Linked DNA regions of Styela clava. The protein of the gene in region 1 binds, or shares a complex with, the protein of each later gene. Links are inferred from orthologs where the notes say so. Each region holds a gene or a part of one and is shown in the gene's direction. Other genes may lie near its edges. The genes, in order: vacuolar protein sorting-associated protein 33A-like, vam6/Vps39-like protein and vacuolar protein sorting-associated protein 8 homolog.

Region 1 (10,633 bases):
CTTATTACCCGGTTAGAACGCCAAAATTTCTTCATCGGTTTTTGCACAAATATTAGTCATTTCCAAAAAATTGCGCACACACCAAAATTTCTGCGCACACATACTACAAAAAATTAGAGGGAACATTGCTCCCAACCCTTGTTGTAAATAAGAAATTCGCTACTCTAGGGAAATGCTCATAATTGTTAGTTTCTATTTCTTCAAGAATATTTATTCAAATAAATGTATTCAAAAAATAAATAAAAAGCCCGAAATAGTTTGCTATTTGTCTATCCTCACTTACATCTAGAAAGAATCAAGAAAATCTAAATTTTTAAACATGATATATATCTACAAGATAGATCGAAAACAAATAAACAATCAAGTTTACACACATCTTACCTTCGATATAAACATTCGAAATAATGATCGAGACAGTCATCGTCATTCGGATGAATTTTAGAAATAACGCCATGTCTCGTTGAAGATGGATACTTCTTATGCTTCCAAAACAATCACTGAACACTATCCGGCTATATCAGAATTCTTGTTCTGGTTTCTTGGAAAAGGAACTCGCGTGTATATTGCCCGGAAAAGGAGTATTACAATGATTCATTACCCGGGAAAATTATTCGAACAAATAAACTCGAGTGGCTGAGCAGCAATGCTACAAATGATGACGATAGACCCAAAAGATCTGTATAGTTCCCATGATTACATTTGGGCTAAATATCTACTCATCCAGTAATCACGTGTCTTGTTGGGTTATTGTCAGGACACTTAAAGACGTTGCTATAAACAAATGAATACAATACTCGAGACTTCCAGGAACACAGCTCGTATTGTTGAAAACATCGGATTGAATAAAGAACAGTATAAAGCAGCACGTAGCATTAAGTTATAAACTCCAAGTGACTATTGCGCATGCCTTGGGTGCAGGTTACAGTCTATTACTATGACGTTATAAATATATTCGCGCAAAGCATTATTATGACCTTAAATTATTATAGAACATCATGTCTGGTCAATTTATATCACTTCTGAGTACTGATCAAATGCAAAATAATTACTAATAAACGGACTTTTCGGTATTTTTTAAAACACCTTCTGCGCGGATTTAGTCAAGAGGAAGAAGATACGAGTAAATGCGATGAAAAACATTGTCAAACAAAAATTACTAGCGAAATAAGAGCAATAAGGTGAATATATTCGCGCAAAGCATTATTATGACCTTAAATTATTATAGAACATCATGTCTGGTCAATTTATATCACTTCTGAGTTCTGATCAAATGCAAAATAATTACTAATAAACGGACTTTTCGGTATTTTTTAAAACACCTTCTGCGCGGATTTAGTCAAGAGGAAGAAGATACGAGTAAATGCGATGAAAAACATTGTCAAACAAAAATTACTAGCGAAATGAGAGCAATAAGGTGAATATATTCGCGCAAAGCATTATTATGACCTTAAATTAGTATAGAACATCATGTCTGGTCAATTTATATCACTTCTGAGTTCTGATCAAATGCAAAATAATTACTAATAAACGGACTTTTCGGTATTTTTTAAAACACCTTCTGCGCGGATTTAGTCAAGAGGAAGAAGATACGAGTAAATGCGATGAAAAACATTGTCAAACAAAAATTACTAGCGAAATAAGAGCAATAAGGTGAATATATTCGCGCAAAGCATTATTATGACCTTAAATTATTATAGAACATCATGTCTGGTCAATTTATATCACTTCTGAGTTCTGATCAAATGCAAAATAATTACTAATAAACGGACTTTTCGGTATTTTTTAAAACACCTTCTGCGCGGATTTAGTCAAGAGGAAGAATATACGAGTAAATGCGATGAAAAACATTGTCAAACAAAAATTACTAGCGAAATAAGAGCAATAAGGTGAACCTAATGATCACCAATGTAAAATGCCTCGACAAAGTTGAACAAGAAACAATATTTGATTTAAATCAAGAAATCTTTTCAACATTCCTCACAATTGACTGCTCTTGGTTTTTATTATCTTGCTGTAGGTAGACACTATTCGTGGACTGATTCTCCTGGACCGTTCGCAATCTGGAAATTATATGTGCATTCATCATTAATTCTCACTGCCACGTTGAATACTTTCATTATTCACTTTTCTTCAGCTTCGATGAAGGTGCGAGCACACTTCATAAATGATTCACTGTACTTGTTAACACGTTTCAATGTTTGCAAGCCCACATCCTTGTTCATAGTAGAAGTGCCAAATTATTTTTGTACCCATATCTACAAAATAAGCTGTGTAAGTGCAGGGTTCTGAAACTCGGGTCCGCGAACCCTCTGGGAGCCTTGGAACTAAATAAATTGCGTTTTTCAGTATTGAAGTGATGTCAAAACTGATGCGTACAGATTTTAACCGGACGCTTGTTCTAGCGTATATCGTGAAATTGTGTTTACGCAGATTCCCAAAACACAGAAAAATTGTCCGAATGATTTGCCACTAGTCAGCATAGGGAGCAGAGGGGGTTGAAACAGGTAGTTTGCACAGGGCTAGCGGGTGGAGTTGGGTAGTAAAGTAATCGTTTAGTTCGGACAGGGTGGAGTCCGGTAGTAAATAAAAAATCGAAAAAATGAAAATATTTTGTTTCCATTTTTATTGGAAGAAGTCAAGAATTAAATAAACAAGTCAATTCAATTTTATTTTTCCTACCAGAAAAAAATCAATCCAATACAATATTCGAGAGAAAAATATAATCACACAATTTACTGGGGAATGGAAGCCGCGGGGAACCAAAGCTGGGTATCGAGCTATTGGATTGGGCATCATTAGAATATACGAACATTTGGCATTCAATAAAGAATATTAAAATACACAGTCACTATTCTTAAGTACCTACTTGCTACAGTACAAATATCAGATTCAAAAAAAAATGTATACATAATTAAGTATTGTCGACGAATACCGTATGGTTCTACCGAATTATCTAACTAACATGCTAGAAATAGATATTCATGAACAAGGTAAAAAGATTACTTCAGATCTTTCGCGACATATCACAAAGCGTTGTCGCCATTCAGCAGCTTTTGCAAACCAAATAAACCATTAGGCATGGGTATCTACGCTAATAATGACGCTTTTTTTACTAAATATACATGGAGATGGTCAACAAAATTGTTACACTTTTATTGACGATTTATTGTATCTAGATCAATACTTTTAGACCATTGAATCATAGCCGCAATTACATGAATTATGTTATTATGCTACAAATGATTCGGTGTGTTTTAAAAAAATTAGATTTTTGCATTATGAAATAGATCTTTTGCATGTGTTTGACCTTTAGACCTTACACCTGACATGGCGAACCACGGCCCGCTGGCCAAATCCAGCTCGTTGGGTAATTCAATCCGTCTCGCCTGATGCTGCCACAACCAAACTAAAGCTGAGTTTTGATATTTAAGCTAAAAAAAAAATAGCTCACGGAATTTGTTAAGATTGCGATTAAATTTAGTTTTGGCACGAGGCTTATTCATTTCCACTTTTGTAACACTGTAAATATTGTTCATATTGTAACTTTTTACGTCACACTTACATGACCCCCCGAGTCTAAGTGGACAAACTTTTTGGTCCCTAGTCCTAAAACCTTGTCCATCTCTGCCTGAGGCATACAATGAATGTATCACAATAATGAAGGTATTACACAAAAAATAAAGCATCTCTTGGTCTCTAAGCACTTATTGTATCAAACACTCTCGAATTGTGCCCTGTAGGGCATGTCCCACTGAACCCCGGTCCATTGTTCTCCATAGGAAACAAATATTTTCAGACCATCCCACGGCGAAATTCGGAAGGCACATCCACTTGCCAACGTTATGAATATTTTAAAGTGTACTGAAGCTGAAAAATATCAGACGGTGGTTTGTCATGTTGGAAAGGCTAAAGTCGAAAAAAGAAAAAAATGGAACGGTGAAATTTTAGTTCCAACCTCCCCAAACCAATTTTACCTCATAGCTTGCGCCGCTCTACCCGTCCGTTGTCCGTTCGCGGGGACGTTGTAACTCACCGAAGGGAGGATTGAAACATCGAACCGCGAACAGGATTGCGGATATAGTATTAGTGTGAGAGCTGATTTTCCACTGTGCCCCATGTCCCAACGTGCCCCACCTTCCCCTATGCATCTGCGATGAAGGCTGGACAGGAGTAAATTGTAATTTACGTAAGTACATCAGTCATGAGTTTAAAGTTTGCATTGTTTTTGTATCATCTCTTTCGAAACGCTGCTTATACTTAGAAAGTGATTCAAACTTTTGTATCATCTCTTTCAAAACGCTGCTTATACTTAGAAAGTGATTCAAACTTAGAAGTTACAACCATAATTCGCAAAACTCTACAATTCAAGATTTATCCTAGAAAAAAAAAGTATATATATATATATATATATATATATATCAGTTAGGCTTATCGTTGCCGAATAGATACTTTTTCTTGCGAAATAGACTAATAAACAGATCAGATATATTCATTTTTTTGCTTTACATGTTCACTCAAATAAATTTCTTGAATTTTTTTTTAAATATATATGAGTTATACTTGTCTTGGCAGCATGCTAATCAACATTAGAGATGAATTTGGGGCACGACCGTACAATTGTGGAACTCCCAGATGATCTAGTCCAGTAAATTTGAATGATGAATTCTATCTACTCATCCCGTCCATAAAGACAATTGAACGTGTCTAGATAGCAGATTTGAAAATATCAAACTTCTATCGGCACGGTCTCCATTAGTTTTCTTATTACTTATCGATCTTAAGATCGGTAAGTATATTGATAGGTATTTGTCTGTATGTATGTCTGTCTGTGTGTGTGTCTGTTAGATGAACGCGATATCTCGCGAATGCGAGGTTGAATCTGCTCCAAATTTTGCATGTGCATACATCATATCTCGGACCAGAAGCCTATTGATTTTGGGTTGATTATGTCGTATATTTAGCGAGTTATTAACTAATTACCAATCTAAGATCGATAAGTCTTCGGTCTCCGACCGATATTCTCGTATTATATATTGAGTTAGCAATCACTGTACCTAATATATATACATATATATATAACTAAAAAATGTTAAACGGCAATTTAAATTGTCAAATACAAAGAGACTCATAATTGCATGCCCATTTAGTTTTATGAAGTACGAATGTAGGCTATATTGAATATACCCCACCTAATATTCAAGAAATAAAAGCGATATTTTATAACTTGCACTTACTTTGCTCTATTTTTTTTCAGAGTTCTTTAGAACTCAACCCTGTAGATTGCATTATTCTGGTTTCATAGACGGTCAAGTGTGTTCCACTTCAGTCACACTCACGACTTGACTTATAATTTAATATGCGACAACGTTTGGATTTTGCGAAATCTTTGAAATAAGAACTACCGGTAACTGTCATCCATCTCTCTCATATCGGGATCGTTGCGACGAGAAAACGAGAGAAATAGCTCTTCGATTTCGGGTGCCCGTCTCGAATGACAGTTCGTATAGTTTGAAGGGCTCTATTACGTCACTGTGAGGTCGTACTGACGTAATTTTTAGGTGGCGTAGTCAGATGGGGGTTAGGATTGACAGATAAAAATTGTTATGCTACGTCCACTAGAAGTATGTTAGGTACGAAACTACATGAGACCCCATTTTTGTTGGGTCTTATTTGAGCAGTTACGGCGTTTATTTCTCATCGCAATTTTGTTAGGCGCTATTTAAGCAATTACGGCGTTTACGTTACTAGACCCTTCATTTTCACACCACATTTCTGTTTACTGGTTTAGGGGTAGTTACAGACTTAAGCAGTTACGGCGTTTGCTTCACGAGACCCCAGTTATTTGTTTGAGATGCATGGACTTAACGATAGAGGAAGATATACCGTACAGATGAATATACCGACCAGGAGTTACTGAGTTATGTGAACCCACCCTTAGATCATAAGATGGAGAATGATTGATTGGTCAGTTACCGTAGTAGGGGAATCCAGCAATCTTCTGGCATATAGCCTAATTGTCCTCCACCGCATTCAAACCAGCGAATGATAATCCAGTAATCAGAGGTCAGGAGGTGCAATGTCAGAATGTCAAGCATATTCCTAACCCATTAACCCTTAGCATGCTACACCAACCTTTGAAAACTACAATTTGTTTGTCTTAAATGCATAAAATGGAACATGCAGCGGATAAATAATGCGTTGTATTATTGCAAATAACTGATTTTAATATATTGACATTGCATATGAAAACAAACAAAAAATATCTAAATTAGAGACTATTGAGTGATTGGTATGTATTGTCATATTGTGGCTAGTTTTTTCAATAATTGACTTGCTCATAAGACTGTACAGCCCGACAGCTGTAGGATAGCATAATTTATACATAACCTATATTTTGTATTTACTGTTTTTACGCTTTCATAATCTACAAAATAATTCATTAAAGAAATATGAAGCTTATTGCTGTATTGTAACTAGGTATTTGATTTGAAGCCATTGTGATTTTTCCTTGAAAAAGGCACAAGCAGTGCCATGGCATCTCATCTCTCTACTGGTGTGGTAAACCTGGCAATGGTCAGGGAAGAAGCAAGACGAGAATTGTTACGTTTACTTGACAAGTGTGCTGGACCGAAGGTAGATCTACTATAGGATTTTATTTTGGAAGTTGAAAAAATTACATTATTAACTCGTATGTTAAACAGGGTGCCATCTAGCCTCCATTGAAGGTTTAACTTTTCATGCTCATCACACCATACTAACCCAGTCGGACTGCCCATTGGATTAGCCTTTGGTATCACAAGATGATATATACGAAAATTTGAGGTGAATGTATTCATGCAACATTCATTTTTTCATACCACGCATGTTTTATGATGTCTATTCATGACGACCAAATCCCTGCCCTAGCAACCATTGATATCTAACTACAGTAAAGAACTACTATTTTTTCATAGGGAACGCTATCTGTCTTGTTAAGCATTGCCTACCCAATTCATCACACTCTTGATGAGGTTTGCGGGCATGGGATTCGAACAGACTATGACAACACATGCTTGAACCGCACACATTTATTTATATTACATTCGAATAAAAATCTATTCGCATTATATTATCAAAATAAGCGATGGCTATTGTTTTATTACCAGCTTTATATGTATCCTCTTTAGCCATGATCTCATTAAAATATTACCTTTCTAGGCATTGGTTTGGGACTATGCTCTCACAGATCGATTTGGTCTCATTGCTGAGTTTCCGCTGCTGAAAGAACATGAGGTTGAGAGAATGTTTCCACTTGCTGGAGGAAAACTTGCAAAATCTACTGTACAGCATATTATATTTATAACAAGGCCAAAATTAGATCAAATGGACTTTATTGCTCAGAATATACAGAGAGAGGAAGATGGAACAGGCTTTGGAAAAGAGTTTCACGTTTTCTTTGTACCGTGGAAAAGTTATCTTTGCCTTCAAAAGCTGGAGGTATTATTTCTTCGATCAAACGAGTGGCCGTATGATTACTGCCTTGTCGACTTTCCTTCCCCCAATGGGTTAAATATGAAATAAAATTGCTTTTATTTTTACCAGGAACTTGGAGTTTCAAGCATGCTGAAAAATATAGAAGAATACAGACTTGATCTTATTCCTCTGGAGTACGATCTTCTGTCTATGGAACATTATTCTTCATTATTTGACTGCACAATCAATGAAGATTACTCGTCACTTTATTTGGTTGCTAGAGCATTGAACAGCTTACAGAAACAGTTTGGAATTATTCCAAATATTCATTGCAAAGGCAGATATGCCCAGGTATTCTATGTGTATAATCTTACATTTGGTATATGGTTACATTATTAGAATTTACCATATAAGTATTTAATTTTGGCGTGATGGCATTTGAACATAAAATCCCATTAAAATATTGAAATATATCAATCGCAATTCCAAAATATTGCTTTATTTTTTATAGGCTTAGTCATCTATTTTCAGACAGGGATAGTGAACCACTGACCCATTGTGACACACCATGTCATTTTCGCCAATTCATGATTTATTTTAAAGAACATGCTAACATTTTTAATGATAAAAAAAATTTCGTAATAAGGCCACCCTTAATTCAATCGTCCAATAAGACACAACGCAGGATTATATAAGACTTGTCGAAGAGATGCAACAGCAAGTTTTTTATTGATGCAGACATTGTATAAATCTATGACGCTAAATTTTTCATCGAAACATGAAATAAAATATTTATTATTATAACCTTTGGATATCACCTCCCTGACCAAGCGAGTACTAAATGTAAATTTATTTTTTATTCATAGATGGTTTGTGAAATTATGAAAAGAATCCGACTTGAATCAAAAAGTAGTGAAGATGAAGGAGAGGTTCCTCCACAAATTGATAGATTATTGATTCTAGATCGTTCTGTTGATTTGTTGTCGCCGCTTGTTACCCAACTGACATACGAAGGATTGATAGATGAAGTTTATGAAATTAAAAATGGTAAATTTTTGATCAGCAAGTATAGGATGATTAATATTTTAAATTTGATCATGTTCTACTAGGGCCCTGGGGTCAAAGTTCATTATTTTTGCACTGGATTCAGAGTTGGAGCTGGAGACGTATTTTTCTAACTCCCCACAGTGGAAATTGTGAATGCCCTGGAGTCTTTAATTGGAGTTGTAGCCTTTCTCAATGGTGATAAATAAAGTCAAAACTTTTCACTAAAACTCAATGGGCATCTATTTTACTGGTGCTCCAGAAGTATGTGTACCAATATGGAGGTGACTAGTTTTGTTCGCCTACTTGGCATCAAATTGTGTAGGGAGGGACTGAAGCCCATGGGGGTATATGCACTTGGCTAACACAGAAAGTACCTGAACTCCCTAAACTATCCCTGTAAATAACTAAAATAAGGAAAATCGAAATAAAATTATGGCCTAACCCTAACCTAGTACACATACTACGGGAGTACCGTTTTAGTAATCATTCTTAGCAGTCTATTAATGAAGGCTTGCATACGCCAAAGTTGTGTCATCAAAATTTGATTTTCCTGGAGATGGAGTTGAAATTTTCTACAACCCGAAGTTTTGTTTTCTGTATAGAAGTCAAGTGCATCCTATTTACTTGTAATCCTTATCTTTTATTATGCCTTCAGCAACTGCAAAATTTCCACCTGAAAAGTTTTCCAAAGAAGGTCAAAATGATGGAGGCACTACTGAACCGAAGAAGATCATACTCTCATCCAAAGATGAATTATTTGCAATACTACGAGACAGAAACTTCAATGCCGTGGGCCCCACTTTGAAAGTGACAGCAAAGCAGATTACTGAGCAGTTTGAGGTACTGTTTTATTTATGTGTGGAAACTCCTAACATAGTAATCATTAGTCTATATTTTCACCCTACTGAAAATACAGTTTGTACAAGCAGAATATAAAATAAAGTAAAAATGGCAATTAAGGTGAAGGGAGGCGTGAAAAACAATGTTTTCTCGAACAGCGATACCCGTGATCCAAGCCTAACATTAATTCATACCAAAGTAAAAAGTTTGAATATTGAATAAAGTTATTTTTTAAACTACTCGAGAGGCAACCTGATTCTTTACAAACAAAAATTTTTTATTCTGATTTTTCTCATTTTAGTTCTATTTCAGTCCCTTTACACAACTTGATGTAAAATAGACAAACAAAATTAGTCACCTTCATATGGCTACACACACTTCTGGAGTGCCCAATTATCAATTCAGAGCACTGGCAAGTGAGGCGACCACAGGAACGGCATCACCTTGACACCAAGATTTTTGATACTCGTTTGTCACCAATCCAAAATAACCACACTGTTCTTTATTTCATGTACATGCGAAGAAACATTAGTGAGAGGTTAATTCGGAGCTTTGTAAAATCTTCATAAAATATCATTGTATTTTATAGGAGAGGCACGCAGCAAAAACAGTTGGTGAAATTAAGAAGTTTGTTTCCCATTTGCCACAAATGCAACAGGCAAAAGCAAATTTAGCGAGCCACACATCAATAGCAGAATTAATCAAGGAACATACTGGTGAGACTTTCAAACAATTTTCATGTTCTATTTATAAGAAAAGATGGTATGATGGCATAATCATATGGTGAACCACGGTCTATTGTCTCTGTCAGATATGGGAATAGTTATTCAGTTCAGATGCATATACTTGAGAGTGGAGGACATCTACTGATTTACTGAACTGACCAGCTGTTTCTCGAACCACCTTCCAACATAGATGAGTTCAGCAATTCTTTCGTATATAATTACGCGACAGGATTCAAACTTGAAACCCATGTAGGGTTCATTGTCAAGCCTGTTGTTGAATAGTATAATTGTTCAATTTTTCTTTTTCTCGATAAATTAGTAATACCGGTGAGTGGGATAATTGACCATGTCCATGAGACCAGAAAAAAATGAATCACAGAATCAGTATGAAAAAATGATTAGGTTCTATCTATAAATTACAACATGCTTAGATTTGAAGGCTTCAATTTAGCTTGTTCTGGCTCATTCTTGAAGTTCAGTTTTAAGGTATAATTTATCATCAAACCATACTAAAACCGACATTTATTTATTTTTTTTGTGCTATTAATAAGATATTTTGTTTTAGTAAA
Region 2 (11,050 bases), on another chromosome or scaffold:
GTGACTTCAACCACCTCATTATTCGTTGAAAGAAATTTCATCCGCTTTTTCCTTTTAGTGACTTCAACCACCACATTATTTGTCGGAAGAAATTTTATCCACTTCTTCCTTTCAGTGTTCATATTTTTAGTAACTTCATCCACCTCACCAGCCGTCGGAAGAAATTTCATCTCCTTCTTCCTTTTAGTGTTCAGCTTTTTAGTGACTTCAACCACCTCATTATTCGCCGGAAGAAATTTCATCCACTTCTTTCTTTTAGTGTTCATCTTTTTAGTGGCTTCAACCACCTCATTATTTGTCGGAAGAAATTCCATCCACTTCTTCCTTTTAGTGTTCAGCTTTTTAGTGACTTCAACCACCTCATTATTTGTCGGAAACAATTTCATCCACCTCTTCCTTTTAGTGTTCATGTTTTTAGTGACTTCAGCCACCTCACCACCCGTCGGAAGAAATTTCATCCACTTCTTCCTTTTAGTGTTCAGCCTTTTAGTGTTTTTTAATTTTTCACCTTTGGGAACACTCCAACTTCCGTTTTCCCTCCACTTCATCCGTTTCTTCCTTCAGCCTTTTAGTGTTGTCCCAAGACAGGAGTGTGATTTTGCTTGGCTGTGGAATGAATAATTTTTCAGCGGGAACAGGAATTGAGGTGTTTTTCATAAAAGACTGGTATGCCAGTGCGCCGAGATGTCGTCATGGTAAGACAGTAAGAACTATATTTTGTATTTGCGACTACCGATACTGTATTCTGGCATTATTAGGCCATTGTGCTATAATGAACGAGAGGCCGTGGTTCGTCATGATTAAGCCGTATTATCGTCTTTCATCTCCCCCGGTATAAATATGTAAATCCTATCCTAATGTTACTTGTAACAAGCTTATTCCTAGCGTTAAACACGTTTTGAAGTGTGTTAAGCACAGAGCCATCCTGAACTTTAGATTTTATAGGGATACGGTACTGAGATGAAAATTTGCAGGTGCATGATATCGTAAAATATGTTAAATATTTTCAGGACCAATGTTGTTGTTTGAAAAATTCATTCATGGAAAATGTCAAGGGAGACGGTATTACGCATGTTCCGCATGCAGAAGTCGCAAAGAGTGTGATGCATTCCTGTATGAAGATGATTATAACAGAAAAAATAAGTGTGGAAATGAGGTACCGTGCAGTTTTGAGTTTTTCGTTAATCACATTCTGTATTGCCATTTACTTTGATACCTGGTTAATCTCAAAGTCATCTTTATTAAAATCACAAAATTATTGGTTCAGGATGATTAAGCTTTGCATTTGTCTTATCAACTACAACCAATAGAAAACATATATTATGAACTGATGTATGGTAAGAGAGTTCGTTGGTCCCAGAAATCTTTTTATTGTTTTTCTATAGGCCTAGCTATTATTTCTGAAAATTTTTATCTGCTTCAAGTCTACATATGGGCATTACATAATTGGAAAACTGAAGTAGCGAACATGCTAAGAGTTTGACTTATTAAATGTCGCATGCAACAGTATCGTGTCCTCCTATTGTTTATAATATGATCATAGCCATTATCTGTGGTATGGACTAGATAATAATGATGAATATTGAAAATTGTCAAGATTTATGAAAGCATCAGATGAATTTGTCTACCAAAACAATGAATTCCTATTTTTAGAGCTTTTATCCTTGCATCTATTCTCAGATACATATTGGACAGCATCAAGATGATAGTTCTCTTCTATATGAATGCACTTTCAAGGGTTTGGCATCATTGTCACCCTCTGAGAGATCATTTTGTCGTAACTGCCAAATCGTAAGTCCCATGATGTTCATATTGATATATAGCCTACTTTACATCCGTATGAAGATAGACAATTTCTCATCTTTGTCTAGAAACAAATTGGAAAACTATTCGCTTGCAACATAGCTGTCATTCCTTTGAAGTGCCATGTTTGGGAAAAGTTGAGATCACTGCAAATATATATGTATAGCTATCATTCATTATCTATGTATTGTTATTTCTGCAGTTTTGAAATGAAGTTGAACATAATCCCACTTCTTAGTTGTATAACGCTAAAACTTTTTCTCTGTAGGTGAGATTGGAGGAATGTAGGCAAAAACCTACAGACAAATGTTTTCAACATGATATCATTAAAAGCTTATCCCTTTTCAATTTATTCCATCCTTCAAGAGAAATACTGCCACCATTACAAGAAGATAAGAAGAATGCGGTATGACATTTTATTTCTCTGAATAGGGTTGTAAATGAGGTTTAAATCAAATAATACTTAATAATGAAATTTGTTTTCCATATTTTTGAAACAATGGAGACTTCCTTAAAACGCTATGAATACATCTTTGACAGGACTTTGTCCAAAAACATGGTTATAGTAACTCTGACACAAAACATTTTCCATTTCCTGGTTTTTATCATATAAAATTACAATACAACAACATTTTATTGCTTCACTGACTGGTAAGTTGAGTGCTTACAGTAAATCCAAATTTTTTTAACAGCAATATTTCCTGAATGACCGAAGCTTGAACTTCATTTTAGATATTTTGTTACAACTGAAATTCACACATATCGTATGTATTGGAATGCCTTCACTTCATGAGGAAATTCAATACAGAAAGTATTTTTATCATAAAAACTCTGAAGATGTAACAACAATAATTGACAGTATTTTGTTAGACATTGACAAAAGATATGTAAGTTTTTATTGCATTTCATAACTACATTTTTCAAACATCTTTTAAATATAAGTTAACATTTTCAGGAACAATTCTCCGACCAGGATAAGTTTTGTCACTTTAATATGTTCAATCACTATTTCATTGATGAAAGTTTTGATAAACTGCGTAATTTTGTAGAGAAATCAGAATCACATTCAAGGATATGTTTGGTATTGGATCCTCCCTTTGGTGGACTGGTTGATGCCATTGCAAATAGTAGGTTGCAAATATTTTTATGTATTTAAGCAGTGTAGATAAATGTTTTCTCACAAATTGTTTGTGGTAGGTTACTAGATTACTTCTTTAGGTTACTTATTGAACTTGCAAAATTCTGAAGACCTTTTGTGGATTTGAATTTATTATTGTGTTGTGTTTCAGCTTTGAAGTGGATAAGTTCATGTAGTTTTCCTGAAAATTCAAAGTCCTCTAAAACTGAAAATTTGCTGCCAATATTGTGGATATTTCCATATTTCATGGAAAAAAGAATAACTGGAGCATTGCCATCACTACATATGCTTGATTACCAGGTATGGTCAGCTATGCTACGCTTTGTTAGTTAGATAAACGGAAACTTCAGTACATACTTAAGTCTATTAAATTACAAAAAAATCTTTGCAGGTGAACTACAATAATCACAATAAGTTTAAGAAGAAAATCACAAGCACTAGAATATCACCTGTAAGAATTTTTACCAACATTAAAACGAATGACATAGTGTTTCCAGTTGATGAAGGATACAGGTTAAAAACATTTTTTGTGATACCAACCTATTATGATGTTCCTTAGTGATCTTATCATGCACTTAGAACAATTGTCTAGTTTTGTAAATTAGCATCTGGATGGAATTATCGCTTTACATTTTACTTTTGTGACCTTATTTGCAGCAAGCTTTACAGAATTGATCATTTATTTTAGGTTCTGTTCTCGATGTGATCGATATGTTGCTGAATCAAATAAACATTGCAAAATATGCAATAACTGCCCATCAAAGGTATTGCCTTTTCTATTCAACTGATCATAATATACTGCATGTCTGCATACTATACTTGATAGTATTAATGATCTTGTTTTATATTTTTAGGATGGGAGAACTTATGTTCACTGCAATGAATGTAATTTCTGTGTAAAACCAGGCAAGTATCATTATCATCATTATACTAGGGAGGGAACTCATTGCATGAATTTCTGCCCTTTCTTATTTGTTAACTTGTATTTTTAGGTCGGAAACACTGCAAAAATTGTGAACGTTGTGAACTGGATGGCCATGAATGCAGGAAAACTGGATATCTGCTAGGTTGTCATCTATGTGGGAAGTTGACTCACAAACGCAGAGACTGTCCTTTAAAGAATAGCCAAAAAAACAATGATATATTACCAGCCAAGACTATAAAAACCAAAGCAAACCATGCCGTTTTTCACAGAAAATCCTCACATTTGAGGAAAAGGAAATATACGTTTTCTTGATGTCAAGACTGTAAACTACTATATTGCGACTGTGGATATTATAAGAATTCGAATATTCTAAATTGTTAATTATGAAATCCTTCACGTTACATTGAAATCTTTGTAGAATAGCATCATTTTTCTATGAGATCTTCCATTTTGAAAAATCGATTTGTCCTTTTATTGGGAATATGGGAAAATAATGAGGTAGGTCTCAATATACTGTAAGTTGAAGGTGTGCGAAAATAATTCTTGACCAAAAAGAAACGGGTGCTAACCCTATCGTTCATGGATATTGCGCTATTAATATAATTATACACACTTCTCGTCATTTTGATCGCAAGCGAGAAAAGAAAACACAATCGTTATTGAGGGTTTTGTCAGTCGAAGAATGAAAATCTTTGTGTGATATATTTTTACACCACATTATTTCGAATCTACCACAATTGGCGATTATTTATTATTAAACTTAAATTATTTTGTTTATTACTTGATCCCTAGACTTGCGGAACGCTTGCCAATAAGCATTAACGATGACTTGAGGTATGATAAGCTTCAAAAGACATAGACAATCGAGGGTCTTGCAATTTTGATTGCCGTGTGTGGATTGCGACGCTGTTGGTTGTTGAGCTTTGTACGGTAATCCGTACATTTTTGTAATACCGATGCGTCTTGCAGTCCAGTGCGCCTTACGTTTGAATACAAGATCAACGACATAATCACACTTTTTCTTCTGCTCATCCCAGGATACCATATAATTTTATTATTTTAATTTACATTGGAAAATCCATGACATGGTAAAATGGCTTCTCTTTGTACCTTATCATTACCTATCCCACTGTACCTTTATACCTTTCTAATCTTCTGGCTGAAATGCAACCATAATAGGTTTTGTGGAAATGCTTTTTATTAATTTTTTTTATTTTTTGAAACTTCATCGTTTTTGGCTGAATCCAGAATTCCAAAAAAAAAACTTACAATAGTGAGTCATTTGATACATATCTTTATCATATTTCACCAAAACCTGTAGGGTCACATTTTCTACAGGGGTGGTGACTTCTCTACGACCCATGGGCCGCGGCCACGGCCCATCTAATTGGGCCACATGGGCCGTGGCCCATCAAGCTATGGGCCGCGGCCCCATCAGGAAAAAATTCAATTATCTTACCGAAATTTTCAATTTTTACAAAATTGTCAATATTCGAACCAAAAAATGAACTCCTGTAGTATGTGTACCAGGTTAGGGTTAGGGCAAAATTTTGTTCAGATTTTTTACATTATAGTTCTATTATGAGTTTGGGGACTGTTTGTCTTAGCCAAGTGAATAGTTTCTTTACACAACTTGATGGGCCGCGGCCCATAGCCTGATGGGCCGAGGCCCAATTTGATGGGCCGTGGCCCCGGCCCATGGGCCGAAGAGGAGTCACCACTTCCACTCCACATTTTGGCCAGAACAGCCATAGACCACTTATAACACTGTCGCCCTTGAGTGGTGCATACCATATATGTACACACCCTTTAAACTTGACCATTCCCGCGTTTTATAGTATGTGGTATCATCACTCAATGGTGTTGTACATTCATCCAAATTCTTAATTTTTTTTTATTACTATAGTCATATGCAGTGTTTCATGTTGTGTAGTGTCTCTATTTATAGAAGTTGTTTTGTCTAACAAACTCCTTTGTACAAACAGTTTTGTACACTCCACCCTTATCCCTGTTAGCGCATCCACCCACCCTCCTTGCACAACTGCCTGTATAAAGGACCATATTGTACATATTTGATTTACCCTATTATAATTTATATATATCAAAAGGGGTGTATGCCGCACATTTGTGTTTCAGGCCAATATGGTCTTGTGCATACATCCCGTCTTCAGTATTTATAATTACTTACTCTTTTATATTGCTTTTACGAGAGGAATAAACATACATACATACATACATACATAGACTAGCCTGAAATTCTTTACCGGTACTTTTAAAAAACAGATTGTTGTATGCGATGAATCATAATGATGTTTTGAAACACATACCCCATTTTACAGGCGCCAACTTGCAAAAGCACTCCTAAAATAGCCCCGAAAATTTTGCAATGGTAAAATATGTGAAGAATTTTTCGGGGGTCAAAGGTCGGGGAAAGGTCCATTATATCATGGTCAGTTAACCATGATTATATTCAACCTGCAAAGAAACACTGCCGCTGACGCCGCCAGCGGCTCGATTATTTGCTGGGTATTAATGAATGCCTGCAGCGGTGGCCGGTGTATAGCTGTATAGAAGTCGAAGATAGCAAAGTGAGTCACTTTGAGAGATAGGTCAGTAGGTAGTGTAATCTAGCACTGTGACAGGCGGACTTTTACTTGCTAACTTTTGTCAATATTTCCGTGGACAAAGACCGCCTCCTAGAGAATTACCGTCGGAACAAAATGCATGATGCATACATTTATTTACCGGTCCTGAAGAGTCTACCATTGGCTATTGAATGTATCGCTTGTTGGGGTGAGTTGAAATATTATTTTTGGTAACATCCCGGGATTTCTGTGTGATGGTGTGTTGATTTTTTTTTTGTATCTAGCGAAGCCCAATATAAATTATCAATCATAATTATAAGGTGTGAATGGTACATGTAACTGATCAACAAATTCAGAAATTATTGCAAAATACTGAAATAACATTTAAGACTGTTTAATGATGAAGGATGGCTTCATCAGGTCTGGTTGGATATGTAGATATCTAATCAGTAAGTTGTTCGAAATGCATTGACTATTTTCAGCATTTGACATCTGGTCACTGGGCCAGCTGAAAACAAGCTTATTTAACTCTTGACACTATCGGCAGTGTTCCCTCTAAGGTGTGCGCGTATGCGCGCGCACACAGCTTTCAGAGGCTGTGCACACGCATAGATTTACTGCGCACAGACGTATTTCGATGTAATGTAACAATGTTCTTTTGTTCTTTTTTCACCCTTTATTTGAATTCAAATAAAACCATCTGTTACAATCAATTTCATTTATTATTTTCCATGTATGTTCATTGTTATCTACTGATAACATATAGCCTTCACTAAAGCATTTCCAATCTACAGAAAAACTTATTGAATAACCAGAATTTTCTTAATAAGCCCACCTATTACCCGGTTAGAACGCCAAAATTTCTTCATTGGTTTTTGCACAAATATTAGTCATTTCCAGAAAAGTGCGCACACACCAAAATTTCGGCGCACACATACTACAAAAATTAGAGGGAACATTGACTATCGGTATAAATAGAAAGATGTCAAAACAATATATATGCCAAATATTCTGCATTTATCAAACTCAATGCTATGAACATACAAAATTTATTCAAATGTCTCTGTTACGTATGGCCGTATTTCATATTTAGAATATATTCAATAATCAAAAATATTATTTCATAGTGTAATCAGGATAGTAAAATTAGATTTGGCTTCCACGAGTGACATAAATTGCATCAGCTCACTGATTTAATGAGTTCTGCTATTTGTCTTATGTAGGAGAAGAGAAGCTATTCAAACAGAACAGATTTTCTATAAATGATGGAGATGTGTCAGAAAATGATAACTCAGCACCAGATCTCCCTAAAGCAACTTTGTTGGTTGGAACAAAGCCAGGACATTTGCTTGTTTATAGTGTGAGAATAATATATTCATCTAGCAAACATATGGGATTTTGACATTATTCTGCTGAAAAATTATTATTTTGTGGTTTCTCTCTCAAATTAAGTGATGTTTGAATTTGTTGTTTTTAGATTAGATGAGAAATGTACAATTTCATTTCTGTTATCTTTAGTAGTGAATATCGTTAACCCGCCTTGCCCAGTTCTGTTTTGAGTGATGATTCTTTTATTTTTTCCTGAATTTAATGCAATAGGGAAATGGCCAGTTCGGTTTGCAAAGTAGAGCTTTGCTTATAAGCTACTTTTGCAATATTGGCTGTTTGATAATTGGGAAAGCCCATTCTCTGATATACACTCCTCAATTAACTATCTAAATCTGATAAGCCTACCTAGTATTTTTAAATTTTTTGTTACAGGTTGAACATAATCCAAATGTACATAACAGAGCTGAAGTAAAGTTGGAACGATCAAATAGAACATTTTCAAAGAAACCAATTCAACAATTATTTGTCTGTGTTGAACTTAAATTAATATTAAGTTTGTCAGATTCCATGGTTTCTGTTCATGATTTGACAACATTCCAGTTGATAACTACCTTACAAAAATCTAAAGGAGCAGCTTGTTTTTCTGCTGATCTTGAGGTATTTTTGATTATTAACTTCTGTGAAGTAAATAAGATAAATAAAGATAACTCATCAAATCATTTTAACATAACAAATTATGATGGTTATTTAATTTGAATATTTCCAAATGATGTTGATATGTGGCTAATGATGGATTTATTCATATTTTTGTAAATTATTACTTTAATTATAAAGCCATAATATCTACAATCAGAATTCAGTTACGGTAATTTAATTGCATCCTTTAACAAGTTTTGACCATTATCCACTGAATACTGATTAGCTGTTAGCTCTGTAACAATGTGCAAACATAGAAACAACATGATCTTGAAATACAAACTTAAAATTTATCAGTCAATTTTTATATACAGTCACGAACATCCTCACAAGGTGAAACTGCTCACACTTTAAGATTATGCATTGCGGTCAAAAGAAAACTACTACTTTATTTTTGGAAAAATCGGAGTTTTCATGAGCTATGTGTGAGTATGGCTTTCACAAATATTTGTTTAATACGCCTAAAAACACGGGAAATTTATATCTCTGAACTAGTGGTAGGCTTCCAATAATTTCATCAAGGTTGTGGTATTTAAATGGTAAGGTATTTTTGTTTGGACCATGTGGTCTTCTTTAGCTTTCTAAATAACAATATTTAAATTCTTTATAGTTATTTGTAGAGAATATATATATATATACACTAGTGATATCTACCGGTAACTATTTATTCCATTTTTACAGCCAGATATCAGCATGCCTGAGATACCAAAATGTATGGCTTGGTGTCGTGATTCAGTTTGTCTTGGTTTCAGAAGAGAATATTTCATGGTTACAGTGAAAGCAAATTCTGTTCCATATGAATTATTTCCTACAGGTGAGATCAATGTATTAAGAGTGGGTGGATTGTTACTCTAACTCGTTGTAATACTGCGAATGCAAATTTTGCAGTACTACTAATGGTGTTGACTTTCAGGGAAGCTCATGGAACCAGTGATGACAAAATTAGATGAAAACAGATTAATTTTAATGAAAGATGATATGAGTATATTTATCGATAAAGACGGTACTGGTGAAAAACAAGTATTCAAGTGGTCAGATGCACCCATAGATATAGGTAAAGTAATATAATTTACCCATATTATTTAACTTGATTATATTCTATACCATGTAAGTGTAATAAGTTTTATAATTACCAATGTTTAATTTTCAGATTTTTGTTATATACTGTAATTAGGGCTGTCCAAGCGAACCGAATATTCGAAATCGAATCGAATCGCAAATTATTCGAATCGTTTTTCGGCTAATTTTCGAATCGCTAAAATTAGGTACCGGTACATAAAGCGGAAACCACCTTTACGGGATGTTTTTCATCGGGCAAGCGGCGGCGCTCCGAGCTCAGACCACTCTCGCTCCCGACTTGCTTAATTGGTTTCCCGATATTTCTCTCGCCTTCATTTTGTGATAAACATGTCATTACTAATGCCCGCCCGGTGGCACGTGATTAGCCATTTCATGCGTGGTCATCATAACAAGGTATAGTCGATCGTGACGTTTTTGAGAGAGAACAAGGAGAAAAAGGAGACAATTTAGAAAACGATAGTTGTATAAATAGAATCGATTTGAAGCTGTTGAGTTAGTTATCATAGGAACATGGTACAGGCAACTCAAAGCTGAAACAGGTGTTTTGGGATCCTTATGATGGCAATACCTTCTTTAAATGGAATTTGAAATTTCTCATGATGGCATTACTGTATTATCCATTTATATACCAAGACAAATAATTGCACTCTTGCATTTTGATGGCTGTTGTACACTAACAATATTATAGTCCTCAAATAATATTGTCATCAAACTAGCTTGGAATTTTTAAATGCAATTTTGAACTTGAGCAACAGTTTTATCTATATTGATGGTTGTTATTATTTTGCTGAAATTTACACAAAAAAACATAAGACTAGTGAATAGGATTAAAATAGCATCTACAGGCTTTATATGTCCTACTAAAACTGAATCCATCAAAATTGAGATTGCAATTTTTGAATAGTGCAATTTTTACTCTTAACACTCAACAGTTTTCGAGACCCAAATTTTGGAGTTCTCCAATTTTTTTGACCAGTTCATACAAGCGTGTGATCTCCTTTGATGTAACTGCACATACGTTACCACAACATCGAAGGGCAGGCGTTTATTGTATAATAGAGACAGATTTACTATTGCGCAATAATATTCGATTATTCGGTTCGATTCGGCGAAAATATTCGATTCGATTCGAATCAAAAAATTATTCGATTTTGGACAGCCCTAACTGTAATACATCTATGTTTTTAGAAACCCAAGCACCGTATATACTAGCAGTATTGCCATCATATGTTGAAATTAGAACTCTTGAACCAAGACTTCAGATTCAAAACTTTGAATTACCAAAACCAAGGTTTATTACTAAATGGAAGTGAGTACTAAACAGGACTTAAACCTTGCTTCATATTAGTCTTTCGACATTGTTTGTAGCACAGCTGTTCGATATTGTTGAACAACAAGACTTCCTATCATGCCACATAACATTTTATCGGATAATTTTTGTAAATGCATGTGTGATTTCCATTTTTAAGTTATTGATTCATACACTTCCAATTG
Region 3 (10,796 bases), on another chromosome or scaffold:
AACCCAATACCCCCATAATTCCATCCACGGTGATGACGAAAGAGGAAAATGATAATAAATTAAAAAAGGAAGTTGAAATTGTCATATTTAAAAGTAAAAAAACTAAAAATGAAGAACCGGAAATAAAAAAAGCATCACCAACTATTGTTGGTACAGACTCACAGTTCAATATTCCAAAGTCTAAATATACAAATGAAAGACTAAATTCTTCGGAAGTTTTAGAAAAATTAAAATTCAGCGTTGGCTCGTTTGGAATGAAGGCATTTTCGAAAGAAGAACAGAGAGAACATGAAAGAAAAAGAGCAATAAAACTTGGAGCAAAACCGACAAAACGGAAATATGTTAATTATAAAATTCTCATGGAAGAACAAAAAAGATTGAAACAAGATACAAGTTCTGGCAATAATATATTGTCGAACAATAGAACCGAATATAAAGAAAAGACGAGTGGCATGCCGAAATTCTGGAAACAAGGCGATAAAAGTTTGAATCCGCAAATTGGAAAATATAAGGATGGAGTTTTAAAACTTTCATCAAAAGATATTAAATCTGTAAACAGGCGCCGATAATAAATTCTGCTTATTTTGATATTTCCCATTGACTTGATGCATTACATTTTAAACCAATTCTCAGATATAGATCATGAAAGTCATTTCCAATAGAGCACAGTCTCCTGATGCCAAGATCTGTCTATATTTGGTTCAATAAAACTAACACTCTATTTGTCTCTGTAACGAGGGTGTCTGGTACGGCGGTAATTTGCGCCATGCTTGTCTCGATAATAATTTTACGTGTGTCTGCCATCATGTGACCAAAATATTTCTGTCAACATTTTTTTGCTAAAAACTCTTGAATCCTACAGTAAAATTTTTTTTTTTTGGTAAATTGTATTATTTTTGGGAATCCAATGGTCAATGGTGACATTTTCAGATTGTGTATCCTTCAGTTTATTTGCACAGTGCCAGTTTGGCGATATGGAGGCCCAGACTGTCTCATAAAGGAGCGGTTTGCATTCACTGGTATAATTGATGTCTTCTAATGTTGGGGTTATTCTTGAAATTGGAGAACTGTACCATACTGCATTTCTATTGATACTTTTGCAAGTTTGAGGAATGTGTAGTTGATCAGTGAACTAACATATAATTATACTCTTTTACAAGTGTAGTATACAAAAATGAATCAACGTGGAACGATTAATGTTATTCCAATGATTTTCATTTGTATTGGTTTCATACAAAAACACTGTATATTATCATGTTTAACTTTGGACCAAATGAGTTGAACTAGCATCTATTTGTTGTAATGTCAATAAATTCTCAGATTTTCAAGTATAAAAAAAGGAAATAAATTAATGCATGGAACGAGACGGCAAGTTTTGTGAATGGTTATTTCACAATTTTAAAGTATATCAATAATATTGAAATTGAATATTCATTCATTTTGATGGAAACTTCGCCCAACAAAATGATATCATCGATTTGAGACCTGTTGCCGAATATAACAATTTCATGCGAATGTTAAAAACTTTGTTGGGCATATTAAAAAAAAATGCATTGTAATACTGTTGAATTTGGTACGTCATTGATGTATGTATTACATTTTTGATTTACTATCCATATGTGGCCTAGCCTTAATTGAATAAACGAACTGTTACTTTAATATTTACAGGTTAATTCTTAATTATAATAAATACGATGGGATCATCTAAAAAGCATAAGAAAGACCATAAACATCGAAAGCACAAGCGTTCAAGTCCTGCATATGATGATGAAGAGAGAGATGAAAGTCATAGTCCAGAAGAAAAAAAAAGAAGACGTCATGACGATGTAGAAACAGAAAAATCATATTCTAAACAAAAAAAACATAAGAAAAAACACAAGAAACAAAGTGAACGAGATCGAGATTCTGAATCCCCCCAAAAGTTGGAATCTGAACGTAATGGTAAGTCAAGACAACATCATGCTGAACCCACTCCAACATCAGCTAATGGCGAAGGTGACTCACTCAGTATTGAAGAAACAAATAAGTTGAGGTTAAAACTGGGACTCAAACCTCTCGACGTCGGTGGATCTTCCGGTAATGCAACCGAATCAAAGAAAGAAGAATTTGTTCATGCTCCTGCTGAAGATTTGTGGGAAAAGAAAAAACAGGATGATATTAGAGAAAAACTACGAGCCATTAAAGAAAAAAGAAACTTAAACAAAAAAATGGGGAAAATCAAGACTTTGGGAGAAGAAAATGAAGATGAAAATGATGCGGTATCTTGGGTAGAAAGAAGTAGAAAAATGGAAAAACAAAAAAAGGTGGCTGAAAAACGAGAACAAGAAATGGCTAAAATGGATGCAGAATTTGGTATTGGTGGTTTAATAGACAATGAATTTGCCGATGTAAAGAAAGACTCATACACATCTCGTGATTTGCAAGGCATTACTGTAAAACACTCCTTAGAAATGTTCAAAGAAGGAAGATCAGAAATTTTGACTCTCGAAGATAAAAATATACTTGAAGAAGATAAGGATGATGTTCTTGTTGGTGTAAACTTGGTTGATACTGAAAAAGCAAAACGAAATTTGGACGTGAAGTCCAAAGGTTCTGGATACAAAGCTTATGATGAGGAAGAGGTTGATGAAATGGGATTTTTTAAACAAAAGTCTATGCTTTCGAAATATGATGAAGAAATTGAAGGAATCAAGCAAGAGAAATTTACTATCGGTAATTATGGAAAAGTTGATACGACTTGGGAACAACAAAAAATGATGATGAAAAATGAAATTAAAGCTAAAGGAGTCAGCTTAGCACTCCCTCAACTCAAAATTGCATCTGAATATTTGACTGAAGAGGAAATGACAAAGTTCAAAAAACGAAAAAAGAAAGTGCGAAAAGTAAGAAAACGTGATCTAAAACCAGACGATCTACAACCTCTACCGGGTAGTTCAACATCATCTGATTTTGGTTCTAGAAGTCGAAATCAACGAGGAAATATACCTGGATGGGATGAAGGTATTGAATCTGCAAAAGTGGATGACACAAGTATAACATCTACAACTTTAATGAATTCGAAGAAAAATGTCATTTTTGACGAGGATGATGCCAGTAATGAACTTCAAAAAGCATTGGACAAAGCAAGACGGGCAAAACAGGTTAAATCAAACATGGTTACTGAGGATGTCGGTGCCAGTAAAGTCGTCGAACATTTAGACCTTTTAAATAAAGTTTCATTTGAAAATCCAATGGCCAATTATTCTACAACTATATCTTTAAATTCAACTGATGAATTTTGTCGTCAGCTCGGAACCGCCTCAGATTTGAATGTTATTAAAGAAGTGCCTATGGAAGAGACTTCCATGGACGACAGCGTTGATATGGACGTGGAAGATGAAGAAGAAGAAGAAGTTACGTCAGGATGGAATTTTGTGAACGATAAAGCCAAAGTTAAGCCAGTTACACAGGCAGAACCTGTCGATGATAGACATGCACCTATTGAAGCCGAGCCTCTTGCTGTAGGCGGCTTAGCCGGTGCACTAAAACTAGCCACGAGAAAGGGTTACCTGATGGAAGAAAAACCAAAAAGCTCAGTCACAATAACTAGTAAAAATATTGACCTGCTTTCTGCAAACTATTCCATTGAAGACAAAAACGCAGTTGATCATTTGGATAAATACGCTCACGAAAAATACTCGAAAGACCGTAGTAATCGCTACGATCGTGGAATTGTAATGGATTTTGAAGAAAAGAAAAATTATAAACCTAAAGTAACTATCGAGTATGTTGATGAAGGAGGTCGATTAATGAATCCAAAAGAAGCTTTCAGAAAATTATCTCACAGGTTTCACGGCAAAGGATCGGGTAAAATGAAACTCGAAAAACGACAAAAAAAGAAAGGAGAAGAAGATATGATGTTGAAAATGAGTTCGACTGATACACCACTTAACACAGTAGCAATGATGAAAGAAAAATTACAAAGCGAAGCAAGTCCTTATATTGTTCTAAGTGGAGCTGGTAAAACATTGCAAGCTGGTGGTGGAGGGCTGAAGAAATGATTAGTATTATAATTGTGAGACATATGAAAAATGAAATCAATTTTCATCGATGCAAATCAATATTTTTGTGTTGTTGTCGGGACATTCTGTTGAGCCGTAAATCATTGCAGCTTCCAATACCTATTACAAAACACTTGCAGGGGTACCATAAACTTTGTCATTCTGATTATCTTATGCCTTCTTTGTAGCAGTTGATTGGCAGATCATATTATGAAAATCTTTTGATGTTATTTTGGGCCATATCATTTTAAATGCCTAAATTATTGTTAACATGCCCACAACAACTCTTGTTTTGATAACATTAGAAATGTACTCCCTGCTAGAAACTGCCCTGACTTGACTTGATTTATATGTTAAAAATGAAAATTACCATGTGATCCGCTGCTTATGTTGGGTGTTTTGCATTAGGATATTCTTTTGTCAGTGGTTGTTATCGGACATAATATGATAATATTTTAATTATTTTTAAACCTGCTATTCTGTTCTAAATTTCTCGCCTCAATCAACAAGATTGAATTTTGTATGGGTTATAAAGATTATTATTTGGTGATGGTGAATAGACACTGATAAGTTATTTTAGAAATGTTGTATAGATATTTGTTGTAAATTTTTCAAATTTCATAGGAAAGTAATACCAGAAGTACTAACTGTACAGGTATCTCAATCTAGTTTGATAGCACATAAGAAGACTCATTACCAGGGCTGGGAGTTATTATGAAAACACTTTTACCTTTGAAAATTGGGTGAAATATCACTTATTATATTATGTTATGATTATAAAACTGTTTGCCATAAATATTAGTTTGGAATGTTGAAAATTGTATATGGATCAGAAATGTCCATCTATTAACTAGACGATCTGCTTGGTCACTCATATACATTAATTATTTGGAATTTTAATACTGATACATGCGAATTAATTTTACTTCCTTTGGATGTCTGTTGATGTTTAAAATTACTTGTAACCATTAACCATCTAATAGTAGTTAACGGGTCACTATTCCCAGCTCTACTTATTACACCATGACGCAGTAAAACCAAGTTAGTTTATGTCACATTTTGAGAAAATCACAATTTTGTTATTCTCAGTTCTGTAATTAATGTGGTAAAATAGGAATCTGATATTCTTTACAAAACATCATATTACATATGGCACCTAAGACTGTGTGTTTGGGGACGCCTAAAACACACCACTATATGTATATATTCTACCCCCCATTTTGGACAAAGTTTTAAAATCTTTTAGGGTTCAAAACAACACTGGAATTAGGACATATTGGCATTATTTCTACCCTCGAAAGTCGGATAGTATCACAATATTCCACTCATCAAATGCCGAGCTATTGAATCCAAAAAACAACAGGTGCTTGTTATAAAAAATCAAAAAAGCCCATCTCTAAAAAAATTTGACTTAGGCTATCTTGTTTTTACTGTGGCTATATATACCGTACATGATTGTCGTATGTCTATCAGCCTGTAACAGAAATTAGTTCTTGATCAATTACTTTTGCTTAAAAACTGTACATAAGCTGGTTTGTTTTAAGTACATATTTGAATCCTAGACCAAAAGATGACCCTGATCCACAGTGAAAAGAAAATCCTAAAAGTCCATTAGTACTTTGGTTTTACTGCGGCGGTTTTTGCTTGTAAAATTACTGCCTATTTTCATTGATATCTGAAGCAGTAACTTATCTGGTTCTGATCTTAGATTTATTATGAATAGCTTCAGGAAAACAAGGAAAATTGAGTGTGATGTGGTGTATTACAATTGACTTTGCCATAACATCTTGGTATGATAACATGCATTATACATGTATTTTACTTTGTGATATAAGTTTTCGCAATCTAGTTGTCCTTTTTTTAGATCCTACGTTTGTACCTTTATTACGCTCGATCTTTTTTTATTATTTATTATTTGATAGTTAAAATAAAATGTTGCTCCATAGCTGAAATGATCTGATTGTAGCACGATGGACAAGCTTGAAACTAGTAATGGGAATATTCTGGAAGATTTAGAAGAGGTGAGTTTGATGAAGTCCTTTTATATTTAACAGATATTCTCTGTATATAGTGTTTACTTTTACAGTTATTTGCTAGTAATAGTTACATGATTTTCAATAGGGTTATATGAATTGTCATTTTGATTAATATGGTCAAGCTGCTATGTTGAGTAAAATATATTCCATTTTTTACACTTTGATATTTTGCAGTAGTTATCAACTTCTTTTTCCAGACCTCAAATTACAATGGGTTATTCTCGTATGGTACTCATTTGTGTATGGACCCAACACAATAATTTTAAATACACTTCAATATGTATGCATAATTAGATAGGCTACATATTTATATTAACAAGCATTGAAATATAAGCCAGGACTGAAAGACTGGTTAAAAATCACAATGGCTCTGACTCTGAGCTTCATTTTTTAACTACAGAGCTGGGCTTCATAGCCATGGGAAAAAATAATTCGATGGTTGGGAGCTGAAGCCACTAAAATTTCTGGTAGCTCCATCAATTATAGAAAGGTCAGCTTCGATTAAATGTCACAGATCTGGCTATGGATATATCATAAGTATGTATGGAGTATAAAATGGGTTAATGTTTACAAATCAATTTCTTTTGCAGCTTGATCCAACAGAGTTTGACATTCCTGATGTTGAAGAACCTTCCTTAGAAAGTATTTTGAAAGAGGCTGAAAGTGAGACTGAAGATAATGTGTCGTTGTTGGATAATATCACCAATGGTTTTTCGCCCACATCTACAGGTAACAACATTTATATAATTGCTTGAATATGTTTTTTGCGATTTGTTACTTTATCGCTTGTAGCAGGTGATATGAAAATTGTGAGGTGACACTGATAAAGAATCTCACTACACTATTTGATGTATCATCTTTATAAAAGAATACCGTATTTCCCACATAATAAGCAGACTTTGCGAATAAGTCTAGTTCTATTTTTATTAATACCCATTTTTTTTAGTTTCTTCATATTATTATCCAAAAAGCTGTGGGCGAAAAATATGCTTTACTTTTTTTTCTATGTTTGTCAGATGAGCACCAATGTACGCTCTATTTTTATTGATTCTATTTTACTCAACTTTTCCTTAGTTACATACATGCCTTCTCTCTCTTTGACATGAGCTTATGTGCAATAGCACCTTGTTTTCACTATTCACATTTTGTCAGGAACTCCAGAGAAAAACATATCAAATGGTTATCTTAAGAAAAGTGAGATGGCATCCCTGAGTGTTCTGAAATCATTAGAAACAACATCAATCAAAAGTGGAGACAGTCAGGCTTCAAGGTATGAAACCAACGATATTAAAATAAATGATTATAAAATCAGCTCAGAAGGTGATCTAGAATTGAACCAAATATGAATTTTTCCTAATATCGTGTCTTTGAAGAAAAATAACCGAATGAGATCTTCAATAGGTTGTCATCATTATAGGCATATTTCTATTGTAATGGGTTCTCATGGTTATAGGAATAAATCGCTATCTGTAGAAGTCAGTCTACTGGGTCTAGTGCAAGTATTATTCGTCAATAGTTCACTTTTCTATTTTGAATTTTGTGAAAATCTAAACATTTGACTATGCTAAATTCCGGAATATTTCCAAAATTATATATGTTATATTGTATGAAGTGACACAACTCACAAGATCAAGCTCCATTCTTTTTAGTAAAAGTTGGATTCATGTGCTGTATTTTTGGTTGTTGTTTGGTTGGCAAATACATCTGACATGACTGGCCCCTCGTTCTAAATTAAGCTTGTTTTTTATTGTTTCAGTGTAAAGAAAAAAGATGCTCCACAATTCCATGGACCTGTTCTTGCATTTTACCGAATGCAAGCTCTGTCAAATCATATCATGTCATCTGCTGATAGAATCAATGCTGGAAAGCCAACATCATTGGTATGTTATGTTGTTATAAGAAAGGAGTCAGTCTTAGTTACTTAAATTCTGTAATTCACATCTAAATATAAGGTAAAATTTTTAGCTAGATGAAAAGGCAGCCTAACGGGAAATTCCGTTATTTGGACTGCGGGTTGCTGAAGTTGTGTCACAAGTTTTTGTTTGGATTCTGTTTCTTACAGTTTAATTCCCCTTTTCAATGAAGAGTCACTTCACAGATTTAAAATATTTATATATTGGAAAGATTAATATGGAAGAAATCTTAAAATGTTACATTCAATTTTTGTATATAGATATGCCATTTTCGAATGTTTAATAGGTTCTTATATGTAAAAGTACTGTAAGATTGAATATATTTTTTACAGGCAGTTTCTCAGTTGATAGCCATTGGAACTGCTCATGGAATTGCTTTAGTATTTGGTAAGTTAAAATTCATATCTACAGTATGACTAGAGCTTCATAGATTATCATAAATTCTATTCGTAACTCCACTATGTCTCATATTCCTCACAGATAATGATCAGAAGTTAGTTCATGTGTTGGGTAGCGTCAGTGTTGGTAGCAAGTATGGTTCTGTGACTGCATTGGCATTCAATATGGATAGCGACAGACTACTAGTCGGATATGCAAGAGGACAGATACTCATGTATGACGTGAAATCAGGGAAATTACTCCGAACAATAACAGATGCTCATCCTCCAGGATCTTCTGTTTTACATGTTAAGGTTAGTCAAGGATTGTTGAAATGAAATCAACTACTACATATGTAGACTAACAAAATGAAAAAAAAGCTTAAGTTTTGACTTTTATTGTTAATATTTCAAGTTATTACGAATGAAAACTTCTCTAAATTGTCACATATCTTCATTTTTGTTTTCTGTTCGAAAATAATTTATATTTGGGATGTTTTTTTTATATAGTTTTAGCCATTTCTGGTGTTCAAAGTTGAGGATTAGGTACTTTGAAGGACTTCTAATCCAAAGCTGAATGAGCTCCCTACCCCTGGCTTAGATTTCAATGTGTGTTTACACAAATATTCTAATGTGTATTTGTCATTCATTCTGAAAAATATATAGCTATGCTCACTATTATTTTTATACCTATTGCTTCATTTCGCTAGCGAACAACTGTTCCTTAAGCTTGCTTTGTATACTATCTAATGTGGGTTTTTCTCTTTCAGTTTACTGATGATCCTACATTAGCAGTTTGTAATGACAGTGGTGGATCAGTGTTTGAATTGAATTTCAGGTTTGTGTGGAGTTTCATCAATAATGGTTATAAGTTTAAAATTAGGTATGTTTTGTTTTTTAATTATTTTATATTGTTTTCAGGAGGGTTATGGGTGTGAGGTCTTGTGAGTCAAGGTGTTTGTTTTCTGGCAGGTGAGGCATTTTTTTCTTGATTTATACCAGGGATGGGCCACGCATGTTTTTATTATTATAAAAAAGAATACGGGTCTTAGATATACAATCGAAGTTTGCATTAATAACAAACTTACTGTTGTATCTTTTCCGCTAGTCTTTTAATTCTTTGATTGCTGTTGTGTGTGGTGTTGAGCTTAACACATACAGCACTTATATCAGAACTGTGGGAATTGCTGGTATTCGATTTTGAGAAATTCATGTCCAAAACATAGTTTGCATTAATTGGTGACTAGGTGAATTACCGAAATAATAAGTGGGGTCTCCCTGTTACCCACCTATGGGTTAGTAGTTAGCTGGCCCTAATAGGCCCCCAAATCATGCAAAAAGAAGTAGTAATATAGAATTTGTGAATTGTCTATTACAGAAAAAAGCATTATTCTAAACGCCTTTAACATTCAGTGCAATTTTATGTATTATGTTTTAAGTTATTCAAGTTAGCAGCAAAATAAACCAATGGCTGTAATTTGATATTTAGTATGTTTGTTTTTATCGACAGTCGAGGTGAAGTATGCACCATCGAACCTCTCCATATTCTGAAAACAATTGCTGATCATCCATTGAGAGACAGACATTTGTTGGCAATGGGAACTTTGACAAAGGTGAGAAATCACTCTTAATTTTTTGCTATGCTGTATCTTGTGCCATAGAATGAATGGTTGTTTATTGTATTCAAGGCTGGATATTTTTTCTAAAGGATAATAATTGAAATCAACGCATTATAACAAGGAAATTATTATTTGGAGTTAAAGGTACTAATCAAATTTAAGCGGGCAACAATTTTCTGTTTAATTATGATTGTGATATCTGCCATTTTGATGTATCCGAAAAATTGAGATTCGTCCCTTTTCAATGTATTCCTGGGATAACATCTTGTTTCCACGACCATGTCCTCCACGATCATTCATGATTGGATGAGCAATTTGTTTTTCCATTCACCTGTCATCACATCCAAAATATATACTGATGAAATAATAGATGAAAATAAAGGAGTCAATTTGTCATTCAATGCTATGTTTTTTAACAGGTTCTTGTTGTGTCATTGAGGCCACAAATCAAAGTTCTTTTCAGCCATCAACTGAATGTACGGTATTGTTTATATTATATGAATGAAAGTCTATTAAATAACATCAATTATTCCATCAAATAAAATAAAAATTGTTGATATAAAGAGATTGTTGCCAATAATTTATGCAGTGTTTTTTGGATTAGCAAAATTTGGGGTAAAAAAGCCTGGAGAAGATATAAAATATATCAAAGGCATATCTTTCTGAAAAACATTGCGATATTCAACTATTAATAAACTTTTAGACAACAACTCTTTTAGACAACAACAATTACTAAGTAAAATGATTCATCTGTCTATTTTTATATCAAGAACAATTCTGAAAATGATTGTATATTTTTCTACTTGTTTAT

What was found.
Region 2: vacuolar protein sorting-associated protein 33A-like (region 1) and vam6/Vps39-like protein share a complex: the UniProt entries of both Drosophila melanogaster proteins name them as parts of the homotypic fusion and vacuole protein sorting (HOPS) complex. The link is inferred for Styela clava from reciprocal best matches to the Drosophila melanogaster genes car and Vps39.
Region 3: vacuolar protein sorting-associated protein 33A-like (region 1) and vacuolar protein sorting-associated protein 8 homolog share a complex: the UniProt entries of both Drosophila melanogaster proteins name them as parts of the class C core vacuole/endosome tethering (CORVET) complex. The link is inferred for Styela clava from reciprocal best matches to the Drosophila melanogaster genes car and Vps8.

The regions. Positions count from the first base shown.
Region 1 is NC_135257.1:17,175,633-17,186,265, forward strand, and holds the start of vacuolar protein sorting-associated protein 33A-like, read left to right. Parts: upstream 1-6,429; 5' UTR 6,430-6,531; coding exon 6,532-6,633; intron 6,634-7,197; coding exon 7,198-7,476; intron 7,477-7,581; coding exon 7,582-7,803; intron 7,804-8,318; coding exon 8,319-8,499; intron 8,500-9,154; coding exon 9,155-9,339; intron 9,340-9,928; coding exon 9,929-10,055; intron 10,056-10,633. UniProt on the Drosophila melanogaster protein: Core component of the class C core vacuole/endosome tethering (CORVET) and the homotypic fusion and vacuole protein sorting (HOPS) tethering complexes involved in endo-lysosomal vesicle trafficking and lysosome biogenesis.
Region 2 is NC_135253.1:11,144,654-11,155,703, reverse strand, and holds the start of vam6/Vps39-like protein, read left to right. Parts: upstream 1-6,347; 5' UTR 6,348-6,586; coding exon 6,587-6,659; intron 6,660-7,674; coding exon 7,675-7,811; intron 7,812-8,212; coding exon 8,213-8,437; intron 8,438-8,790; coding exon 8,791-8,901; intron 8,902-9,157; coding exon 9,158-9,290; intron 9,291-9,389; coding exon 9,390-9,530; intron 9,531-10,744; coding exon 10,745-10,865; intron 10,866-11,050. Other genes in the region: rRNA N(6)-adenosine-methyltransferase ZCCHC4-like, read left to right, coding at 614-695, 1,011-1,156, 1,681-1,791, 2,072-2,209, 2,496-2,690, 2,759-2,930, 3,093-3,241, 3,333-3,454 and 3 more. UniProt on the Drosophila melanogaster protein: Part of the homotypic fusion and vacuole protein sorting (HOPS) tethering complex involved in endo-lysosomal vesicle trafficking and lysosome biogenesis.
Region 3 is NC_135255.1:12,619,876-12,630,671, reverse strand, and holds the start of vacuolar protein sorting-associated protein 8 homolog, read left to right. Parts: upstream 1-5,919; 5' UTR 5,920-6,010; coding exon 6,011-6,061; intron 6,062-6,666; coding exon 6,667-6,805; intron 6,806-7,228; coding exon 7,229-7,346; intron 7,347-7,832; coding exon 7,833-7,956; intron 7,957-8,321; coding exon 8,322-8,376; intron 8,377-8,469; coding exon 8,470-8,681; intron 8,682-9,136; coding exon 9,137-9,204; intron 9,205-9,287; coding exon 9,288-9,338; intron 9,339-9,876; coding exon 9,877-9,979; intron 9,980-10,404; coding exon 10,405-10,461; intron 10,462-10,796. Other genes in the region: 40S small subunit processome assembly factor 1-like, read left to right, coding at 1-569; U4/U6.U5 tri-snRNP-associated protein 1-like, read left to right, coding at 1,695-4,040. UniProt on the Drosophila melanogaster protein: Part of the class C core vacuole/endosome tethering (CORVET) complex involved in endo-lysosomal vesicle trafficking and lysosome biogenesis by facilitating docking and fusion of endosomal vesicles.